3 linked regions of the Notamacropus eugenii genome follow. The main gene of each other region encodes a partner of the protein of the gene in region 2 in a complex. Links are inferred from orthologs where the notes say so. Each region holds a gene or a part of one and is shown on either strand. Other genes may lie near its edges.

Region 1 (7,047 bases), on a different chromosome or scaffold from region 2:
AGAACTGTCGGGTGGGCCACTTGTTACCAGCAACCTGTGCAAAGCAAGTAGAGATATTACGCCAGGCTATATACCCTGCTCCTTCCTTCTTATTTGACTTCTTGACCCATATAATCCAGGTTTCCTCCTCATGCATTTCTTACAATCTCTAAATCTTAAGACAGTAGACATTGTTTTTCAGTTGTGTTTGACTCTTCATGACCTCATCTGGGGTTTTCTTGGCAAGGGTATTGGAGTGGTTTTCCATTTCCTTCTCCAGCTCCTTTTATAGACAAGGAAACTAAAGGCAACAGGGTTAAGGGAGCTGGCTAGGGTCACACAGCTAGTAAATGTCTGAGGCCAGATTTGAACTCAGGAAGATGAGTCTTCCTGACCTCAAGCTCAGCACTCTATCCACTGTGCCACCTAGCTGCCCCAAGACATTAACGATCAGTTAATTCAATTCCTTTGTGGAAAGGTAAAGAAACTTTAGTACAGGGTTAAAGTGACCTGTCTAGGGTCCCACAGTCAGTCAGGGCCAGTGTTGGGACCAGAAGCATAATCTCCAGGCCACTGCTCTTTCCATCATATTAGCTTCTCTAAAAAAGTAAAAACCCATATGCACAATAAAATCACCAAAGTGGAATTTGAACATGATCAAGAAAATCTCTTAATCTACAAAATAAGCTGGTCAGATAAACCTTGCTATAAATGTTTTCTTAATCCTTGTCTCCAATAGCCTACCATGGCTCTCTTTTCTGCTCCTTAGGTCCATCTTTTGTAGTCTTTCATTCCCTTCTGTCCTGCGTTCATTCTCTAAGGCACATCCAAATTCTATTAAATCAATGAAAAAAAGGATGTGTGTGTCTGTGTGTGTGTCTATGTGTGTGAGGGCAACCTTTGTTGTTGTTTTGACTAAGGCTCTAGTTTTTATCAATGGTCCTGGTTTTCTACTGTTCTGGGGGTGCATAGGGAAAGGAGTAACAAAAGAGAGAGGGGAGGTACACAGACATCCCATCATTTCTTCAAGCTCTACTCTGACAAGAATCATGCTGTTACCCCCTGTCCCTTCCCTTCTTTGGGTACAGAGGTGGGGAATTATAAGCTCTGAATGTTGTATATGTTGTCAAAAGTGCCAGGTGGTTTTGCTTAACTGGCTTTTTGTTTTGTTTTGTTTGTTTCAAGGATAGGGTCATATCTAGAAATGACTGATATAAAAAACCAAAATGAACCAATAAACCACTTTTAAAAGAATTATCAGGGGCACAGAGCTGATTTATACCTGGTCTCTGGAATATGCTTCAGGTTGTAGACAGGCTTGTCTGAAAATCCCCCATGTTTCATCCTGAAATCTCTTTCGGGACATAAGCCCTAAAACACAAATAAAAAGTCAATTAACTACTCCCTAACTTTTGGATGCTCCTTACAGATGAGTTCCATGACATCAATAAGTTCACACAAATAAGGAGAAGGTGCATATCTGGAGAAAGATTACTGCTACTTTACTACCTGCCTTTTCCCCAAGATGTCATACCAGAAGTTTCTGCAAACCCTTATGTATCAGATTAAGACACTCAATAAAAAGTTAGAAGTGGGGAGGGTTATGGCTAGAAGGTGGTCAGTATAATAGATAAAGACAGCTAGAGGAGTTAAGGGTCAGGGAACCCAGGGGGGCAAGGCCTGATTTTGTGACCTCATCACACATTGAGAAATAGAACCCAGCTCAGGATTTCAGAAGTCAAAGAGAGCTAAGAGAGTTGCCCAGGTGAGAGTAAATAGCTAATTAGTACAAAAACTTTCTCCAAGGTCTCAAGTACACAGTAATTTGTACTGCTTGCCTCCATTGTCCTCGAAAAAGAACACATCAAGAGAGTTCTTTGTTTCACATCCAACTAAATCTTTTCCCTAGCCCTTTCTGCTACAGTATGAACGTTATATTCCAAATCCCTCTCTTGATAGCCATGAAGAATTAGTGAGCTACTTGCTGTTATCACAGAAAAATGGTACTTATAGGCAAGCTATAACCAGCTCTACCTTATCCATATCAACATAAAAGCTCACAACCCAACCTAGGCTGGAAGATTTGGGGACGATCCATAATGTGATCTGTTACTTGGGAATCAATCAATAGAAACTGAAAAGTACAGTCTCTGACCTCAAAGAACTCACATTCTAATGTGGGACCCAACGTGCAAACAAGTATGTACATACAAGATCTATCTATCTGTCTGTCTATAGAGAAAGAGATAGGGAAACAGATAGTGGAGACAGACAGAGAGAGATGGGAGAAGAGAGATGTAATTTCAGAGGGAATACATTAACACTGAGTGGGAAGGAGAAGGGACAAAGGAGTAATAAGAAAGAAAATCTTGCAAAAGAAGATGGGGTTTAAGCTGAATCATGAAGGAACCCCAAAATTGGAAATAGAGAGGGGGAACATTCCAGGCATAGGGGACAGGTAGTAAAAAGGCACAGAACCAGGGGATGGAGAGTCACATATAAGAAATAGCAGTATGGTCACTGTCATTGGATCACAGAATGTATGGATGAGACTAATCATTTCAGAGTGTTGCTGCTGCTTGTTCCAGTTGTCTAGAATTAGAGTTGCCTTCCCTATTACTGAAAAGGTAAAATATACACTCATCAGTACTATCCTTGAGTCCCTAACTCTGTATTTCCCAAAGTTAGAGGGAAAGCAACTGGTTAACTGGATAAAAACACAGTTATACCCCATTCTCCCCACAAGGTGGGTTCTTCCAAGATGGGAACAAGAGATATGTGAGAATGCAATGAGGAAGAAAATCTGGGTCTGCAGGTCCAGTTAGGAAGGATTTCATTATTAGGCCTAGACTGGGATGATGAATGGACATCTAGGACAGGATAGATGGAATCTGGGAATAGATATGCCCCAGGACTTCAGATACACTTAATGACCATCCCTACTCACATCCATATTCATTTCCTGCCTCCTTGCTCCAATTTTCACCCTAGAGCCTTTGGCTCCTAAGTAGAGAGAGAACCTTATCTCTAGGCTGGACCCAACCCTGACTCTCCAATATCTTCATGCTTTATGACCCTTCTTTCCCACCTTCCCACCTTCTACTTCAAGCTCTTGTAAAGACTTTCAATTAATTCCCTATAGCTCCATTCATCATCCTTTCAATTTCCCAGACCAAAATATCTCTCCCCTATATTAAGTGTTGTCTTCCCCAATTAGAATGTAAGCTACTTAACAGCAGAGACTCATCAAGCTTTTTATATTAGCATTTAGCAGAGTGCCCAGGACACACAATAAATCACTTAATAAAGACTTTTTCATTCATTCAGGCCCTAAAGGCTGCCTTCTACTTCTACAATCATTTGGAGATGAAGGAGCAGTTTGACTTCCAACATACCTGGTTTTCAGCACAGAGTTTGGGGGGTAAAAGAAGATGCAGCACTTCATTTCTTTTCTGACTTTCACAGCCCGCAACATAGACTCCTAGAAGGAACAAAGAATGTCAGCAAACATATCTTTTAGACCAAAGTTAAACACAGAAACAACCTCCACACCCTAAAACTTCTGAGCAGGGGCAGCCACTGCATCCTAACGTTACCCAGCAAGAAACACAGCAGCCAGAAAACACCACTGTCATAAAAGCGTGGCATGAAACTGCTTCTGGGACGTGCCAACGACCTGGGAACCGGGTCTGCAGAGCCTCTGTCCCAGCTGGCAACAGCACCCACCGGGTTCTTTGGGAGGGTCCCTGGGGGTAGGATCACCTTGGTTATCAGTCCACTCCAGGACTCGGGTGGGGCCCGGCAGCTCAAACGCATGGAGATCTCGGTACCTACGTGGAAACAAACAGAGCACGAGGCCGTCGGGCGAGCTGGGCGCGCTCACGCGCCGCCTGCCCTCTCTCAGCTCCGGGCCCAACAAGGCCCTCTGGGCCGCTTGGGGGGCGCTTACGAACCTCCCGTATGAATAAGCACGAACCACGGGGTTTCCGGGGTCACTGTGCGCTTTGCGCCCTCGCGCCGTCGCTAACCTCCCGTCACCAGCGCCCACGTTCCATTTCAGGGCCACCGGGCAGATGGGGAGGTGGAGACTGGGAGCGGTGACTGGGGGAGGGGTCGGATCACGGACGCGAGGCCGGGGCTGCCGGGCCTGTCGGCGCACGCGGAGGGAAGGCGGCCGGAGTCCGCCCGCTCCCGCCGGACTCCCCTGGGGCCTCTCGGCCGGCCCCCGGACGCCGCGGGCCTACCCTCCCGCCCCGCTCCGCCCGCTGCCCGGCCCGGCTTACAAGCGCAGAGAGTCCACGAGCCAGTCTGCAGCCTCCTCCATGCCGCCAGCAGCCTCCGCCAGCTCCCGGCACGCACACGGGCACGCACACGGGCACGCCGCTGGCGCAGGGGAGACGTCAGGGCGTGGGCGGGGCCTCCCTCGGCCCCGGGCCCCGCGCCCCAGGGCGTGGTGAACGGGAGCGACGCCCACGTGGGAAGAGGAGGCGAGGTCCGGGAGGCCAATGGGTGTGGCCTCCAGGGGGCCCTCCCCCGGAGGGGGAGGAGAGGGGGCGAGCCCGGCCCTCATTGGACCGCCAAGTCTGAGCATTTAGAGCATTTAGAGGTCACCTAGTGGTGCAACGCCATCTCCACTGAGGTCACAGATTTGGAAGGTGGCAGAGCCTTTGGCGCTCTTGGTTCCACATTTAGGGTTGGATCGCTTTGCCTCTGTTCTAAGACTCATAAAATCTTGGAATGTTAGAGGGACTTCAGAGTTCACCTGGTCCAACCCTCTTATTTTGCAGGTGGGGAAACTGAGGCTCAGGGAGGAGGAATATATGTGTCTCTGTGTGTGTGTGTGCGCGCGCGCACACAGTCAGTGAGGGGAAATGACTTGCTCACCTTCACACAATTTGAGGCAAAGTTAGGATGAAAAGTCTAGCCCATCGACTCCCACTGGGGCATTCCTTCTTTGCTGTCCAGTCACGTCCAACTCTTTATGACCCTGTGGAGCCACTGTCCATGGAGTTCTCTTGGCAAAGACACTGGAGAGGTTTGCCCTTTCATTTTCCAATTTTATGCTGACACTAGGTGCCAGGAGACCAGAGGACCAAAACTCTTCCTCTCCTGCCCTAGGGATGTTCCTTCTCCTATACCACAATCTTTACTTTTCTGAGGACCTATCTGTCTATGCAGACCAAGCCTGATGGCTGAGGGAAGAGTGTACTGGCCACTAAGGTCCTACAAGGGTAGGATGGAGTGTATTGGAGCATAGCAAGGTGCTTGGTACAGAGCTGACTGACTGACACCTCCCTTCATTCCTCATCATGACCACTCTGGTTGCCATGGAGCCCATAGGGCACAAGAGAGCAGCATTCTTCCACAGAGAATGTCCTAGCTGGGGAGGGTCAAAGACAGTTTCCCAACAAGCCATAGTTGTGAGGATGAAGAAGTAGGAAGTCAGTTTGTCTTTAAAAAGCCATGGCCTCATTCGGAGCCGACCTTTTCTTATCTCACACCCTCTCTTCCTCACCCCGTTGGTGAGATTCTCACAGGAATGGCTAGAAGGAGAGGCCCACACATTTTGTGCAAAGAATAAGGTTTTATTCACAATCTCAGGAAGGATGCAGGAAAAAAATATACGGAAGAGACATCATTTGTGTCTTAAAGAACAGTGATAATAGTGAGTGACCTCAGTCAAAGATTATAGTAACAATGTGGCAACAACAAAGGACAGAAATTACTCTTCATCAGACTGTGGCAGTAGCCCCAGATGGCCATTCTCTGAACTCCAGACAGCTGCATGGTCTGTGCAGTCCAAGCAATAGCCTCTGATGACTTAACTACTTCTCCAGCTGCTGAACCAGCATCCATAGGTCCTAAGAAGAGGAAAATGATATCAAGAATTGTGCCTTGGAGCACTCTACCAGTCCCACCTGTCAGTCATCAGGAGGTGATGGGGCTAGATAAATAACTCTGTAGGAGAGAATTGTGTCCCTCAAAGTAAAGAGGCTAGGCAGGGGTGGGGAATCACATGTGGCCCTCTAGGTCCTCAAGTGAGGCCCTTTGACTGAATCCAAACTTCACAGAATAAATCCCCTTGATAAAAGAATTTGTTCTGCAAAATGTGGGGTCAACAGGCCTCCCTTGAGAACCTAGAGAGCCACATGTGGCCTTGAGGCTGACGGTTCCACACTCCTGAGCTAGAGCCTTGGAGCCTTGGAAGGAGATACAGGAAAGAGATGGGACCACTTTGCTGGGAACTTTCTTCTTGAAGACTTCTTAGTTTTATCCAGAATTCTCATTTCTACAGACTGGAGAGGAGTTGAGTGCTATGTTTCTCTCCCTGCTCTTGTGAAGTGAGCAAAAGGAATGATTAAGAAGAACAGACAGCTAATCTCTATCCAATCTTCTATAGAAGGATGGACCTAGGCTGTAGATAGTCTGTGGACCATTCATGCCATAGAGCATGGCATGCAGTACAATAATGTTACCCTGCACATCCAAAATAAACCTGAGCCTCTGCTCCCCCACTCCCCATGAAGGCATTTTGGAAAGAGAGAGAGAGAGAGAGAGAGAAAGAGAGAGAGAGAGAGAGAGAGAGCACCAATGGGGAGAAAATTGAGGGAGAAGCAATTAAATGAAAGGCAATGTGAGCTGATGGAAAGAACACTGGATTCAGATGTTTCAATGTTCATAGACAGGACAGATGGGCCAGCTAAGCTGAAACAGCAAGTCACTTTGAGGGCAAGAGAGGAGGCAGTATATGCCAGGCAAATCAAACCACATACTCCTCACCTTAATCACTGTCTATCTCCCCTTAGGCCTTAGGGGTTCCCTTACGGTCACACAGATGGAGACAACCCAGGACCCTAAACCCAAGGAGCTTGGGAATTGCCCCATAAACCACCAGACCTGCTTCCAGCCCAGTGCCCTCAGTCATCATCCTGGGAAGCAACTGCTATGGAGATGTAGTATGGCTACAAAAGGTAGAAAATTAACTTACTGCTCTCCAACAGAATGTAAATACCTTGAGGGCAGGAACTGTATAATCTTTGTTTCCCCAGCATCCAAACACAGTATCTT
Region 2 (7,047 bases):
ATCAGATAGGGTCCCAGGGTGGTGGTAACTGGTTTTCCTTGTCACAGAAGAAGCTTCTTTGGGAACAGGGGAAGAAGAGGAGGGAATGAGCATTTCTGTAGTGCCTACTGTGTGCCAGGCCCTGTGCTAAGTGCTTTACAAATATCTCATTTGACCCTCACAATAACCCTGGCAGGTAGGTGCTGTTATCAACCCCATTTTACAGTTGAGGAAACTGAGGCACACAGAGGTTAAGTGACTTGTTCAGGGTCACCCAGCTACTAAGTATCTGAGGTCAGATATGAATTCAGGTCTTCCTGACTCCAGGCACAGTCGTCTAGCCACTGCACCACTATCTGCCTAAGGTATATGGAAATAACCTCAAAAGGTATCAATAATACTTTCTGAAGAGGAAAAAGGCATCGTAGTGTAAGGCTTCTGTGTGAACTACCAGTCTGTGGCCTCTCATTTTCCATCTTAAAACACGTTCTCCAAAATATTTTTCATTGTGCCCTGCTCTGCACACCTCTGCTTTAAAGCCCTTGACTGCTGATTCCCTTTGGAGGGGCTTTCTAAGTTCTCCTGAGAATGTACTCTCTTTCCCATCCTGTTCACTGCCAGATCCTCCACAGGGGGAATGCATATCAAAAGCACTGATGGAGCAAAGGATTAACTGCCCTTTGATGCTTCTGGTTGCCTTTGGCAGCTCCTTCTTTTGCCAGCTGTCACCCCAGGCCCAGTTCCAACTCTCACTTGTCTTCTGGTCTCACTGAGAGTGAGCAGGTGAAGACTGGCAAGGTTCCTTTCTTCCAGAACAATGTCCTCTCCCTCAATGGTCACAGGACAAGGTGTTTAAAACCACCACCAGCTAAGTGAATGACTACAGATAGTCTAACACTGTGACTTTGTCTGCCCCCTTTTCCGCCACTGTCACTAACACCACCAGATGCCAAAGGGGACCCCACAAGGCCAGGGGCTCCTGGACGTTTTCCTGCCAGACTGTGAGTTCTACCAGGGTCTCATCTGGACTCCATATCTCCCCCAGCACCTAAGCCAGATCTCAGATTCACAAATCTTCGGGAAAGGAAGAAGACTGCATGACTACTGATGAATGGAAACTGAGAAAAAGTCCAGAGCACAGCATCTTCCTATTCAAAGGCTGAAGACTCCATATTAGTAACATCTGGAGGGACCTAAGAGGCCAAAGACCTATAAGTATCAACTTTTAAGATGCTCAACAACCCAGAGAATCAGCCTAGCAACGTTTCTGTTTACAGGATTGTGTCTCAGAGAAGTCCCACGGTAGGTCTCCACTCTACACCAAAAACACCCCTGAACCTTTAAATTGCACATTCCAGGCCACTCTGGAAACTTGGTTGTGAGCACCCCCTGGTGGTAGGCTATGGGACCCAAACCATATCAACTCCTGTTACTCTGCATGGGGTCGCCTCTCCCAAAGACAGACTGTGATGCTGTTACTGAGGATCTGGACTATGCTCTTGCCTCCTCCTGAAAGAACAGGGAATGAGCTCCTACTTCATGATGAGTGACACATCCATTGCCCCCCACAAGCCCTCTGCTCCAGAGAAACCAGAACAGAACTTGCTACCTCCCTTCCCCCTATTCTCCAGCCCATCCCCCTGCTCTAGAACATAGTCCCCCATTCTCCTGACCTGATATAGCCTCCCCACCTTCTCAACAAATCCAGCCCACCCTTCAATTCCCAACTCACACCTTACTACCTCCTCTAGGAAGACTTCTCTGATTCTTCCGGCTCCCAACCATCCCTCTCTCTTTCAAATAATCTGTCCTAAAATGTTTGACCCCCAAAATAAATTCTCTTTCACTCTCCTACATACGTTTAGGCTAATTTCTCACAATACCAACTGTGTCTCTCCTGAGGGATGGAGAATTCCTTTTTACCATGAACCAAAGGAAAATATTCAGAAAGAGAACCTGCTGCCTATAACACTGCCCACTCAAGAAAAGCATCCATGGGACTCTGTGTAACTGTACCACACATGGCTCCTCCATCCCACCCCCCATCAGTGGGCATGGCAAAGTGCTCGGTTCATACTGATATGAATCATACTGATGGGAACAGAGCACAAAATAAAGAGCTAAGCTGTGATTGATGTATTCTCTTACAGAGAATATTACAGCTTTTAAGTTCATCACCATAACATTTTGTTGACCTGATGGTATTTTCACCAGAAAAACTTTTTTTTTTTTAAATCAAACTTGCTTCTTTTAACTTACCCAAGGGAGTGACTTTAATCTCTGGCATCTTGAGTGGCCAAGTTCTCAGTACTTCATCAGGCTAGATCCAAGACACCATAGAGCAGTACCTACAAAGCACGGGTTTTTGAGATCACACAGGTACCGTTGGTCTGGAAGTCATAATTTCTAAAAGGAAATGGGCCAACCCAGAAGGCTGTAACTTTTTACAGTGATTATGAATAGGTGGTGAAAAAGGGACACCACCATCCCTAAAACTGGGCAAGGTTTCCTCAGCTCTGGTTACTGGCTCTACGCCAAAGCAGTGGTGGTCTAAGTCTTACCCTACTGTGACACAACAGTATACTAGACAGAGGTCTCTGGGGGGGGAGAGCATGCTAGGAAACTAAGGTGATAATGACACTCTCACTGTCTTAATCTGGACTTGGGTCAGGAGGCCTGAGTTCTAGATTCTAAATCACATGACCCTTCTTCACCTGTAAAATGGGATCATCAAAATTGTACTGCACAGCTACCTTGGAGAATTTATAGAGGGAAGGAACCTTAGAAATTATCTAGCCCACACCCCTTCATTTTAGAGAAGGGGAAATTAAGGGCCGTGGGAGTTAAATAACTCACCCACAGTCACACAGATAAGCAGTAACAGAGCACAAGCCTTCTGAGTCTGGCATAGGCTGGACCAGATGACTTCTAGAGACCCTTCCAACTCTTAGAACCTAATTCCAAATCCAGTGTTCTTACCTATACATTACACTGCCTCTTTACATGGCTGTTGTAAGGGAAGCATTTTGTAAACTGTTGGAGCTACAAGTGTTTTTCTGCTTCCAAAATCAATTTGTAAAAAAATTGAATAGCCATCCCTTAGCCCAGTTGCTCCTGCCAGGCTGTGGCTTAGGAGTATCAGCTGCAAAAGCTACTTCCCAATCCTACATAAAGTAAGGTGGTATTATACAAAGCACAAGATTGGAGGCAAGGGGCCCAGGTGTGAATCTTGGCTCTGCTACTTAGCACTTGTGTGACTCCAGGCAAGTCGTTCTCTGAGCCAGGAGATGGGTCTCTAATCCCTGCGCTGACCCTGACCCCTGACCCCTGACCTGGAGCAAGTTCCACAATCTCTCGGGGACTCAGTTTCCCCTCTTGTAAAGTGGGGCAAGAAGACGAGGAGAGGCGAGCCCGTCTAAGGTCCCTTCTAGCCCCCGAAGGGCCTCCCCCTGGGCTCCCCTGCATCCCCACACCGTGAGCCCAGGCCGGCTCTGTCGGGAGACCCCAAGGCCGAGCGCGGGCTCCCCGTCCAGGAGGCGCCCCACCCCCAAACCCAGCCCTGCGGGGCAGCTGCTCGCCCGCGGTGACGTCACTCGCCCGCATCCCGGCGGACGCGCTCACGGCCGCCCACCCGAGGGGGGCCGGTCCTGAGCAGCAGGCCGCTGGGAGAAGCGGGCAGGTTGAAGAGGGAGACTCCCAGACTCCCTCGAAGGTCGGCAGGGCCCCCGCTGCTTCCCTCTCCCCACCTCAGCCCTCCACGAGGCAAGCCGCGCAGGCTTCCGTACTCCCAGCCAGTCCCGAGGCACTGCGCCTGCGCGGGGGGCGGGGCCAGCGGCGAGGGCCGGAAGGCACCCCGCAGGCGCAACCCCGGCAGCCTATGAGCGGCCTTCCTGCGCCCGGGACCTGCCCTCCTGGGCCGGCCCTCCCTGCCGGCCTTCCATTGGATTCTGTCCCAGTCAATCAAGCAGGGGCCAGGACTGGGGGGCGGGTCTTGGCTGTGATTGGAGGGGACTGAAGACAGGCCCCCAAGAATCTGCATTCAATGGTAACGCCGGTGAGTAAGGTGCAGGTGAGGGCGAAGGGGTGGGCCCGGGGGGGCCGGGGATCGGGGAGCTGTAAACGGACGTCGGGGGTGCTGGGGCGTGGGATGGGGGCGGTGGGGTCAAGGGTCATGAGTACGCCCTGGGGTCCCCCGGCGCTGCGGGGGAGGGGACCCCGGTGTCCGGGTCACGGTCCGGGGGCACCCGGGGCTCGGGTCCTGCCCTGACCGCCCCCCCCCCCCCCGCCTCACTCTCTGCGGGACCTCCGGGCCTCAGTTTCCCCATCTGTCAAATAGAGCGGGTGGGACTCCTCCTTTCCTGACTTTGAAATCGAAGGGCATAGACTTTAATCTTGAGAACTGCATTTAAATTGTACTTATGCTGAATATATATTGTATATAACCTATGTATGTACCGTATATACAGTATATATGTATGTACTATATATGTGTAGATGTATTCTGTGTATGCTGATATGCCTGTATGGTTCCTTCTGTAATGTGGGTATTTTATACACAGGAGGAAGGGGTCCGTGGGCCTGATTTTCTGCTATTCTTGTGTTTTCTTTTCAAGGATGTGAGTCCAGGACCCAAAGGCAGTGACAGAAGAACCAGGAGTAAGACCCTGAGATCCCCTCCCCTTTGACCTTCCCCATCTGACCCAGGTATGTATGGCACTGCTGTATCGCTGTGGTTGGGTTGGATTCCTTCCGTGGGGGGGACAGGGGGACTTTCTCCAGGTTGCTCTGTGCTGAGTCAGACTCTGAAATTTATTTTTGCCTGTGGTAAGTGTTCAATAGACACGCTAGATGAGTGGAATGGGAGCCGGGGCCAGCATGCTGAACCCCGGACCGCTGCCGTCTAAGAGCCTTCGGTTCTGCCAAAAGTAGAACTCCTTGGAGAGTGTTGAGACTCTTTGTTTCTTTGGCTGCTCTTACTCAATCCCTCCCCGCCCCCTTCCTTCTTCCTGCTCCAATCTTCATCTCTGACCTTGAAGCTCTGATAAATAGTTTATGGCAGAGTATAAACATAGCAGAGTCAGAGTGATGTCTGATGGGAGTACTGGCCTTACTTTGAGAAGTTGAGCAGGCCCATCCATCCTCAGTTTGTAACCTCAGCTGTTCAGCCTGCTCAAAACAGTTTAGTTTCCTCTTTTCTCAGTATTATATAGCAGACTGTGGGGCCCAAAATGATTAAAAAGTCCTAACAGCAATTTCCTGCTTGCTGCTGGTTTCATTCTGTGTCATGAGAAAGCACAGGGCTATTTAAACAACAAATTGATATGTCGTTGACCGATAGACCATCTGAGCTGGAAGAGACTTTAGTTAATAGAATGTCAGAGTTGGAAGTTACCTTAACGGAACATCTCATGCCACTCTTTCACTTTACAAATAAGGAAACTGAGATCCAGAGGGAGGAAGCAATCAACAACTAAGAACAAATGAGGTATCCTAACTCCTAGAATCATGATCTTCCATTGGCCACCCTCAGTCGTCTTCAAATCCTGGGGTCCTCAACTCTTCAATCCCCATTCCTAAATCTGATCCCATTGTTGATTTTAATCATTCGGGCAGCCATTGAGGGTCATACTAAGTGCCAGCTCTGGGTTCAGGACCACACTGGGTGCACAGGGGCATACAAAAATATAAGATGCCATCTTCCTTTAAAGAGCCCCTAGTCTGGGGACATGAGAGCCACCCACAGCCAACAACCTGGAATGTTGTAAGCAGATCTTAGATCTGTGGAAGGCTTACAGCCATAGCATGGATGGTAGCCTCCCTCCTCTCCTTCCTGCCTTCACTCATCTGAATAATTCTATTCTGTCTCCTGCTTTGCCTGGGAAATCGGCTTGGGGTCCAGGATGGAAATATGGGACAGATAAAGAATCCAGGGCCTGGGAGATTCCAGGGTAGAACCCACCTTCCAAGTTAGCCTCTCCCATCTCAAACCTGTCCAGTCACTGACTACTGGCAGATGTGTAGACTCAGTGAGTAGGCTGTGTTTGCCAAGGTTTCTTGGGAGCCCAACTCTGCTAGAATAGGGCATTTCTATCCTGCAGCAACTTGGGTGAGTAGGAGCAAGTGTTAAGAAAGACACCCCATTACATCAGGTCTGTCATCCCAGCTGGTCCTCCAAAGCAGACACGCACCACCTGATTCTCTGGGGACCTTCTGTGTGTTTCAGGTTGTGGTGGACTATGGCTGACGAACAGGCCGAATTTAACCTGAAGGTCGTGCTGGTTGGTTTTAAGCAATGCCTCAATGAGAATGAGGAGGTCCTCATGGACCCTTATATTACCAGTTGGAAAGGGCTTGTCAGGTGAGTGTGCAGGGGCCACTCTGTGGATCCCCAGGAGGGTTCCTACATGATACATCAGGCCTGGAGTCAGGAAGACATGAGTTCAAATGCAGCCTCAGGCACTTACTCTGGCTGTGTGATCATGGACAACTCACTTAATCTGTGTGCCTCTGTTTCCTCATCTGCAGAATGGGTATAGTAATAGCACCTACCTCCCAAAGTTGTTGGGTGGAACAGATGAAATGATCATTGTCAAGTGCTTAGTCCTGTGCCAGGCACAATGTTATAGAAATGTGAGCTCACGTCATCCTCATCGATGTTATCATCACCATGACCATTATTCTCCCTTTTATTTGAGGAGAGTGCACATGAATGTCCAGCAACTTGTGGGAGAGGGCGGGACCAGACATTGTGGAAGGGCAGGCTGTGCTGGAGCAGCAGACAACTTGTGTGTGAGGAGGCCCTGAGCACATGGAGGGGGGGATCTGCGTGTGATGGGGGTGGGCACAGGGCCACACATGAATGGAACAGGACTTGCTAGGCAGCAGTTTCACATTCCTTAAGTCCTCATTCCTTACAAGCATTTTACAAACACCAGTGACTGGATTCTCCCATTGGCCCAAGAGGCCTGACATTTAGACCTTCATGCAGAGGCCCCACGATGTGCCCTCCTGGCACATTAGCCACCCGAGGGGTATGGTTGGGGCAACAAGGATTGATACACGATCTGC
Region 3 (7,047 bases), on a different chromosome or scaffold from region 2:
TGTGGTGTTTCCTAACCTGTGCCTCCAAGAATCCCTCATCAAGATGAAGCTTCAGCACTACCATCCACATGGGCCTTTTATGATCTCACCCAACTGCCAGTGCCCTCCCTAACAACATTGCAGTTACTCTGTATGTATGTGCACACACACTCTCTCTCTCCATCTTTCCCACAAGAAGGTAAGGTAAGCTCCCTAGGAACAGGAACTGCTTCATTTTCTATTTTTGTATCTCTAACACCTAAGAGTTTCTATCACACAGGAACCACTTGATAAAATGCTTGTTATAAGATGAGGGATTGATATTCCATTCTGCTAGGATTTAAGACATATCTCTCTCTGGTACTTTTAAGTTTACAAAGCACTTTCCTCACAACAAACCTTTGAGATGGATAGGCTACTATCCTATTCTATAAGGAAACTAAGGCTCAAATTGAATTTACTTGCCCAAAATTCGTACGAGTTAATAACTAGCAAGCCTGGGATTAAAACAGAAAAACAAAAAACAAACCTAAAGCCTTTTCCCCTAAAGCACACTCCCGCCATGGTCTAGCAGCCCTGCTGTGTCCATTCACAGAATCATGGCCTTGGAAGGGATTCAGAGCCTATCTAATCCAGTCCATAGTTGAACAAGAGCTCCCTCTACATCAAAAACAACAAACTGGCGTTCAGGATTTTGCTTAAAGACTTTGAGTGAAGGACCCCCCATATCACCTTCTAAAGCAGGCCATTTCACTTTTGGGTAACTGAAGAAGTTTTACTTTATCATCAAGTTTAAATTTTTATGTCTCTCTGAAGTATTCATCCTTTGCTTCTAGTTCTACCATCTAGGGCCACAAAGTCTAATCCCTCTTATATATGCCAGTCCTTCAAATACTTGGACAGAGCTATCATATAGGCCCCTCAAGCCTTCTCATCTCCAAATTAAACATCATTAGTCTTTTTAACTGACTCTCATGTGGCATATCTCAAAGCCCTTCACTCTCCTGAATGGTTCACTCTCATCAATCTCTAACTTTTGGGTGTCCTTCCTACCATGTGGCCCCCACAATTTAAGACAATATTATAGATGTGGTCTAACCCAGAGTTCACTATCTCCCTAGTCCAGGATACTTTGTCTCTTAATACAGTCTAAGACTTATTAAATTCCTTGGCTGCCATATACCATTACTGATTTATACAGATCTTGCAATCCACTAAAAATGCCAAAACTCTTTTCAAATGAACTGCTATCTAACCACCACTTCTCAACCTTATGCTGATGAAGATGACTTTCTGAATCCCAGGGTAAGACTTTACCATGTATTTCTATATTTCATCCCATCTGATATGACCCACTATTCTGGCCTGTTAAAATATTTTTAAATCCTGACTCGGTCATCTACTATTAGCCATCTCTCCCAGCTTTGTGTCATCTTAAACTTTGTTGTTTTTGATGTAGAGGGAGCTCTTGTTCAGTTATAGCTTAGATTAAATAGGCTCTGAATCCCTCCCAAGGCCGTGATTCTGTGAATGGACACAGCAGGACTGCTAGGCCATGGCGGAAGTGTGCTTTAGGGGAAAAGGCTTTAGGTTTATTTTTTGTTTTTCTGTTTTAATTCCAGGCTTGCTAGTTATTAACTTGCATGATACACATGTCACCTATGCTTTTATCTAATTCACTGGCAAGAACGTTAAATAGCACATAGGTTTCCAGTACACTCCACTGGAGAACTCCCTCCATGTTGATATGGAACCAATGATGACTCCTTTTTGGGTACAGACATGTATCCAAGTCCAAATCCACCCACTGGTCTGTACCACCATCGAGCTTCCATCTCTCTATTTTTTACTAGGAAGGAGCTTCAATAAAAATCTTCATAGCATTTTCCTGATCTACCTCTAGGTAGGTCTAGGAACCAAATTTTAGTAATGTCTTTTTGTAAATTATTTATAAAGTATCTATATAAAGCACTGGAAGGCTTTCTCTTATTCTTAAAATATTTTGTGAATGCCAGTGCAGTTACCTATAAACCAATCTCTAATGACCTTGCCATTCTCTGGACATAGGAATAGGGACCAAGTTATAATTTCATTGGAATACTGAATTCCCAAAGAGAAAACTCCCTCTACTAATGCAGGCTGGCACCTCATCTGAGTTTTAACTTTCCCAGAGTCATGTATTAAGTATGAGTCAAAGACAGGACTTGATGCAGATAAGTTCCTCAAGTCTTCCTGGCTTCAAAGCTGACCCTCTAACCACACAACAAGTTTTATACAAAACAGAATCAATTAACTTTTGAAGAATGCAAGTTTTAAACCATACCTCTAAGACAATTTATACTGAACCCAGCTATGGCACTAAGTTTCACACAAAATCTCACTCTAATATAAAAGATACATAAAAATAGTTACAAATAAAGACTTCTTTGAATTGTATATGTATGCATGCATATGTACAAGAGTGCACATATGCATGTGTCTTGTGTGTATATGCATCTTCAGGGTGTCCCAAAAGTCTGAGTACAGTTGTAAGCTATAAAACTACATCCTGCTTCTTTAGTCAAGTAGCAGATCAGAAAATATATGAAGGCACATATCTTAAGTGAAAGGCCAGAACACTGCTTTAGTCAATTTAAGAAATATAAAAACTAGAGGCGGGCCACCAGTGGTTTTAGCGGATCTCTGCTGGAGAATTTACAGAGAAACAAAAAGATATGCACAAGAATTACATAGAGTGAAAAGACATAGAAGGATTGAAATCTGTATCAATGGAAGATGTACCCATCCAAATGAGAGAATGGATTCAGTCAAGTGTGTACATATAATATACAAGTATAAGGTACACGTGTATGTATATGTATGCATGTTAGTAAAACCTCATATAACTACAACAACCTATCAGCCAAGTCTAATTTTACAAGCTACAGCATCCAAGAAGTCACCCCTAAACTCACCTGGAGATACTGAAAGCTGTTTTCGTGGGCTGCAAATATTCCTGCAAGACGTAGAGCAAAGGAAAGGATATTGGAATTCACATCCTGTAGCTTCAGCACATGAAAGAGCAGTTCTGTCAGGCAAGGATTCTCCTGTAATACCAGCAGACTAGATTCTGTGGAATACACAAGCATCAAAAAAGGATGATTCTTCCGTCACCTGTCGGGAAACCATTCTGTATCCCTTTCTGGTATCAAGGTACCCATTTCCCTCAAGAAGTTTTCATCCTTGCCCTTCTAAAGAGCCTATCCATATTCATAACACTCATCTACCATAATCTGAAGATTCTCTCAAACCTTAATTAAAATTAGAATTTAAAATACAAACCACCCTAATAACTCCCCCATAATCCAACTTGTCTTCTTTCTCTTAGAACCTGTTGTAAAGTATGGTGGGCAGCACATCCATTTATTTAGACATGTGGAGCACTGTTGAGTCATCATGTACCATGTCATAATTCTCTAAAAACATCCACCAGCCTATGGGTAAACAGGGAGCAAACACTACCACAATTACCTGCTTCAGTTACTGTCTTAAACCAGTCTAGTAGTTTTTCCAAACAGGTATCATCAGCTACAAACTGCTTTGGGTCTACCAAAACTGCACAGACAGAAGGTAGGAGCCGCGAACATTCAATGTCCATAGTGAATCCAGTGGGTCCTGGTAATGAAATGTGAAAAAAAACACCACTTAGACCCAATATTCAAGGCCGAGTGCAGTCACAGCAGGAACCCAGGTGCTGGTGGTTCCCATCCAGTGACAGGGTTTGGTATACTTGGCTGGAATGACCTCATCTCTGATTTCTTCAAGTAATCCAGATTGGGGAAGGAGCCAGAGGCATTAACCAGTCCCTGGCCAGAGCCCTGGGGGTGTGAACCTTGCCCCCTTCGCTAGTAGAGCAGGGCTGGCCAGCCGTGGTCTTTGCGTCCTGAGGGCCTGGCACAGTGCATGGCCCACGGGAGACTCTTAAATAAATACCTGCTGGTTCGAAATCCTAAACAGGTCGTTCCTCAGGATCGCACAAAAGTGAGATCCAGAAGAGATCCCGGGCCGAGCTGGGGGAGGGCACGGAGACCTCCTTGGCTGGCTCTGTAAGGGCTGTAGTCCTTCCTCTGGTCCCGTGTTTATTTTCCTTTTTTTGGAGGAAGGAGGCGGAAGTGTGGGGAGGAAACAAGAAGCTGATTTCAAGCTGTGTGTTTCAGGGGGTCCCGGATCCCCGGCAGGGGTGGGAAGAAAACTCACACGCTCGTGGTCTATCCCTTCATTTTAAAGACAGGGAAACTGAGGCTCTGGGCAGTTAAGTGAAGGTTACAGGGAGGCCCCTAGACTATCTCCCCCCCTCGTTAAGCAGCAGGTTTCGTGGGGGTCTATCTGGGCGCCCCGTTTCAGGGGGATGTGTAGGGGGCACGTATCAGGGTCAAGCGTGCGAAAGGGCCAGGGGCACACTGCGGCTGGGGTTCCGATGGCCCGTTTGGCCTCGAGCACGAGACCCACCCAGGTCTTAAAGAGGTCTCCGAATAGGGGGAGGGGAGGGGGCGACGGTCTCAAGCTCGGGGGGGCATAGCAGGGGGGCGGGCCAGGTTGGAGGCCACCCCGAGATCGAGCCGCCCTCGAGCAGGGCTCCTCCCGATCGCTGCCTCGCCTAGTGGGGGGTTGGGAGAGACCCCCCCCCCCCATCCCGCACAGGGATGAGGCCCCACAGAGCTGCTCCTAGACGGGCTCCCCCCACCCCACCGCTCCCGAGAAGGTGAGAAGATAGAATGGGGAGCGGGAAGCGCCACCCGGCCTTCCGAGAGCTGAGCCCCCCCTCCCCGAGACCCTCACCAGCTCGGCTACGCTCCGCTCCGTCGGCGCCGCCTCGCCCCGCCCCTTCCCTCGCGCTCGGTCCTCCGGCTCAGACCACCTCAGAGAGCGGCGGGGGGGAGATAGGGGCAGAAAGAAACTTCGTCCTTGAGCAAACGCATCCAGATTTTAAAGGAATAGCTCGTGAAAAAATCTCTTCCATCTTTCTGGTAGAACTGATCCTGTTCAGAGTTCTGCAAAATGGCACACAAAAAGAGAGGCGTTTCACCAGATTCCCCTGTTTGCGCACTTAATAGTTGGTGCCGATGCCGAGGCTGCGCGCAGTAGGCGGGACGACGTCTTAGGAAGTGGGCGGGGTCACGTAAAGGGGCGGGGCTTTGTCTGTCTAGGAAAGCATGTGAAAAACGGAATCCTTCAATTGTGAAGGGGAAGAACCGGGCAAAGTTCAGCGGTCATACCATTTAAAGCTGTAAGGGACCTTAGAGAGGAGAGAATCTAACGCCCTATCAGAAATAAAAATGAGCCAGGCAGTTGTTTTTTGTGGTGTAGTGGAAAGGGTGTTGGGCCTACTGGCACAGATTTGCGGGAGTTTGCGAGTTGGGGTCTTCTGGTCTACCCCATACAGGAACGCTGTGCCCAGTATCACTTCTGCTGAAAGACCTCCAAGGATAGGGGTCCTATAAGTTGGGGGGAGGGGGAGGGAGGGCCTATTCCACTTGTAGAAAGAGCCAATTGTTGGGAAATTTCTTCTGACATCAAGCCTCTGAAACTTCCCTCCATTCTGACCTTTGGGGCCAGACACAGCAAGTCTGATCTCTCTCACAAAGAGCATCACTTCTGCCTTCCACATTAGGCAGCCCTTCATAAACCTAAGCAGTAGCTAATATGTCCCGCCCTCTTCTTCTTCTCCAGGGTAAACATCCCCAGGCCTTCAACTGATCCTCCTAAGATCATAGATTTAGAGTTGGAAGGAATTTGGAGCTCATGCACCATCTAATTCAACTCCTCCATTTTATAGATGAGACAGCTGAGGCCCACCCAAAATTGAAACGACTTGCCCTAGGTCACACAACAAGTATGTGACAGAGAGGGATCAGAATGCAAGTTCTCTGTCCAACTGAACGTCCTTCTTAAACCATAGTATTCAGTACTGAATGCAATACTGCAAATAATGTCTGATTAGGAAAGAGAGGACACAAATGCAACTGTCCCCTCCCTATTCCTAGAAGCTATGTGCCTCTTCATGTAGTTTCAGATTAGCACCTTGATAACTTATATTGAGCTAGGAATCCACTGGAGCCGCCACATCTTTTTCAGAACTGCTATCTAACCATGTCCTTTCCATCTTATACTTATAAATCTGGCTTTTTTTTTGTACACAAGTGTAAGACTTTACATTCATCCTTAATGAGTTTCATTTTTATTGGATTCATCCTAGTTCTAGTCTGGCAAAATCCTTTGGGGTTGTGGCTCTGTAATCCAGTGTATTAGGTATCCCTTCTTGTTTGAGATCAGCTGCAGATTTGATGAGCATCTCATGTCTTCTATGTCTTTAAATTCATTGATAAAAAAATATTAAACAGGGCTGAGCACAGATGTCTTAGTCTTGAAGGCAGTAGATTTATCGGAATCTCGACTGCAACACTTAGGTGATCATGAGTAATCCACTTAACCTCAGTTTTCTCACCTGTAAAATAATCATAATACCTGTTTCTCTTCCTCCCTCATCTGATTTATGAAGACAGTGCTTTTATTCATTGCTTCACGGTTTAGTTCTTATGAAGTCTTTTTTTTTTATCACATATTAGACTGCAGCTGTGGAAATTTTCAGAACTGTTCATTGAGATCAATATTTATTTGAAAAAAAGAAATCCTTCTGGAGAATCAACCAAAGTATTTTTTTCAGCCCAGTAGTTGAATGGGTTTAAGTCTGCTTGCACTGGCTGTGCCTTCATAACTTAATGGAAATGTAATGACTTGTACTAAATAGATCACTCTGAAATATGATTTGAGGAGACTTGTTCAGTTGTGTCTCACTCTTCTTGACTCCATGAACAGACCCTTCTATCCTCCTCTATCTCCCAAAAATCTGTTAAAGCTTATGTTCACTGATTCCATAACATTATCTCTCCATCTTGTCCTCTAGGAAGATCACACCTAATTTTTATAACTGTCTGCTTGTTTGTGGATCTTTGTATTTTAATGTGACATAATGATCTACAAAGCTACTAAGTCATCACAGTAATATTATCGTTCAACTCTGGGGTATGG

Evidence for each region.
Region 1: the proteins of INTS11 (region 2) and WDR73 are in contact, whole or in part, in a cryo-EM structure (PDB 8R22), measured with the Homo sapiens proteins. The link is inferred for Notamacropus eugenii from reciprocal best matches to the Homo sapiens genes INTS11 and WDR73. Residues at the interface, in NP_060341.2 of Homo sapiens: Tyr206, Thr208, Thr209, Ile210, Arg211, Asp212, Ser213, Arg215, Cys216, Arg217, Glu218, Arg219, Asp220, Leu222, Lys223, Lys224, His226, Phe255, Arg258, Met259, Leu364, Val384, Glu385, Tyr386, Ser388, Lys418, Lys419, Glu421, Phe422, Gln425; in NP_116245.2 of Homo sapiens: Asp5, Asp6, Leu8, Val9, Ser11, Leu12, Tyr15, Gln16, Phe18, Tyr19, Ala20, Phe21, Asp22, Leu23, Glu50, Leu52, Arg59, Leu68, Phe69, Pro70, Glu71, Arg72, Asp73, Phe74, Lys75, Val76, Gly79, Phe81, Asp116, Ser117.
Region 3: the proteins of INTS11 (region 2) and BRAT1 are in contact, whole or in part, in a cryo-EM structure (PDB 8UIB), measured with the Homo sapiens proteins. The link is inferred for Notamacropus eugenii from reciprocal best matches to the Homo sapiens genes INTS11 and BRAT1. Residues at the interface, in NP_060341.2 of Homo sapiens: Leu9, Val15, Gly16, Lys27, Met35, His36, Met37, Gly38, Phe39, Arg43, Asp47, Tyr50, Thr58, Asp59, Asp62, His70, Leu71, Asp72, His73, Asp87, Gly88, Gln97, Pro101, Ile102, Glu105, Arg108, Lys109, Val112, Asp113, Lys114; in NP_689956.2 of Homo sapiens: Asp25, Thr27, Cys28, Glu30, Lys31, Asp34, Pro117, Ser156, Ser157, Leu158, Phe159, Ser162, Lys358, Ser359, Cys366, Arg367, Arg424, Arg427, Thr465, Lys468, Lys469, Trp514, Glu515, Asp518, Ser519, Glu522, Tyr560, Ser564, Ser604, Glu605.

What each region holds. Positions count from the first base shown.
Region 1 is NC_092872.1:178,257,148-178,264,194, reverse strand, and holds the start of WDR73 (WD repeat-containing protein 73), read right to left. Parts: upstream 4,413-7,047; 5' UTR 4,304-4,412; coding exon 4,263-4,303; intron 3,810-4,262; coding exon 3,742-3,809; intron 3,461-3,741; coding exon 3,375-3,460; intron 1,351-3,374; coding exon 1,262-1,350; intron 35-1,261; coding exon 1-34. Other genes in the region: NMB (neuromedin-B), read right to left, coding at 5,805-5,840. UniProt on the Homo sapiens protein: Component of a multiprotein complex required for the assembly of the RNA endonuclease module of the integrator complex. Associates with INTS9 and INTS11 in the cytoplasm, stabilizing the INTS9-INTS11 heterodimer and blocking the active site of INTS11.
Region 2 is NC_092876.1:34,733,691-34,740,737, forward strand, and holds the start of INTS11 (integrator complex subunit 11), read right to left. Parts: upstream 3,811-7,047; 5' UTR 3,726-3,810; exon of another isoform or gene 3,577-3,725; intron 2,328-3,576; 5' UTR 2,267-2,327; coding exon 2,239-2,266; intron 1-2,238. Other genes in the region: CPTP (ceramide-1-phosphate transfer protein), read left to right, coding at 6,216-6,337.
Region 3 is NC_092874.1:385,584,853-385,591,899, forward strand, and holds the start of BRAT1 (BRCA1-associated ATM activator 1), read right to left. Parts: upstream 5,101-7,047; 5' UTR 4,798-5,100; intron 4,107-4,797; exon of another isoform or gene 3,952-4,106; intron 3,634-3,951; 5' UTR 3,617-3,633; coding exon 3,490-3,616; intron 3,089-3,489; coding exon 2,934-3,088; intron 1-2,933. UniProt on the Homo sapiens protein: Component of a multiprotein complex required for the assembly of the RNA endonuclease module of the integrator complex.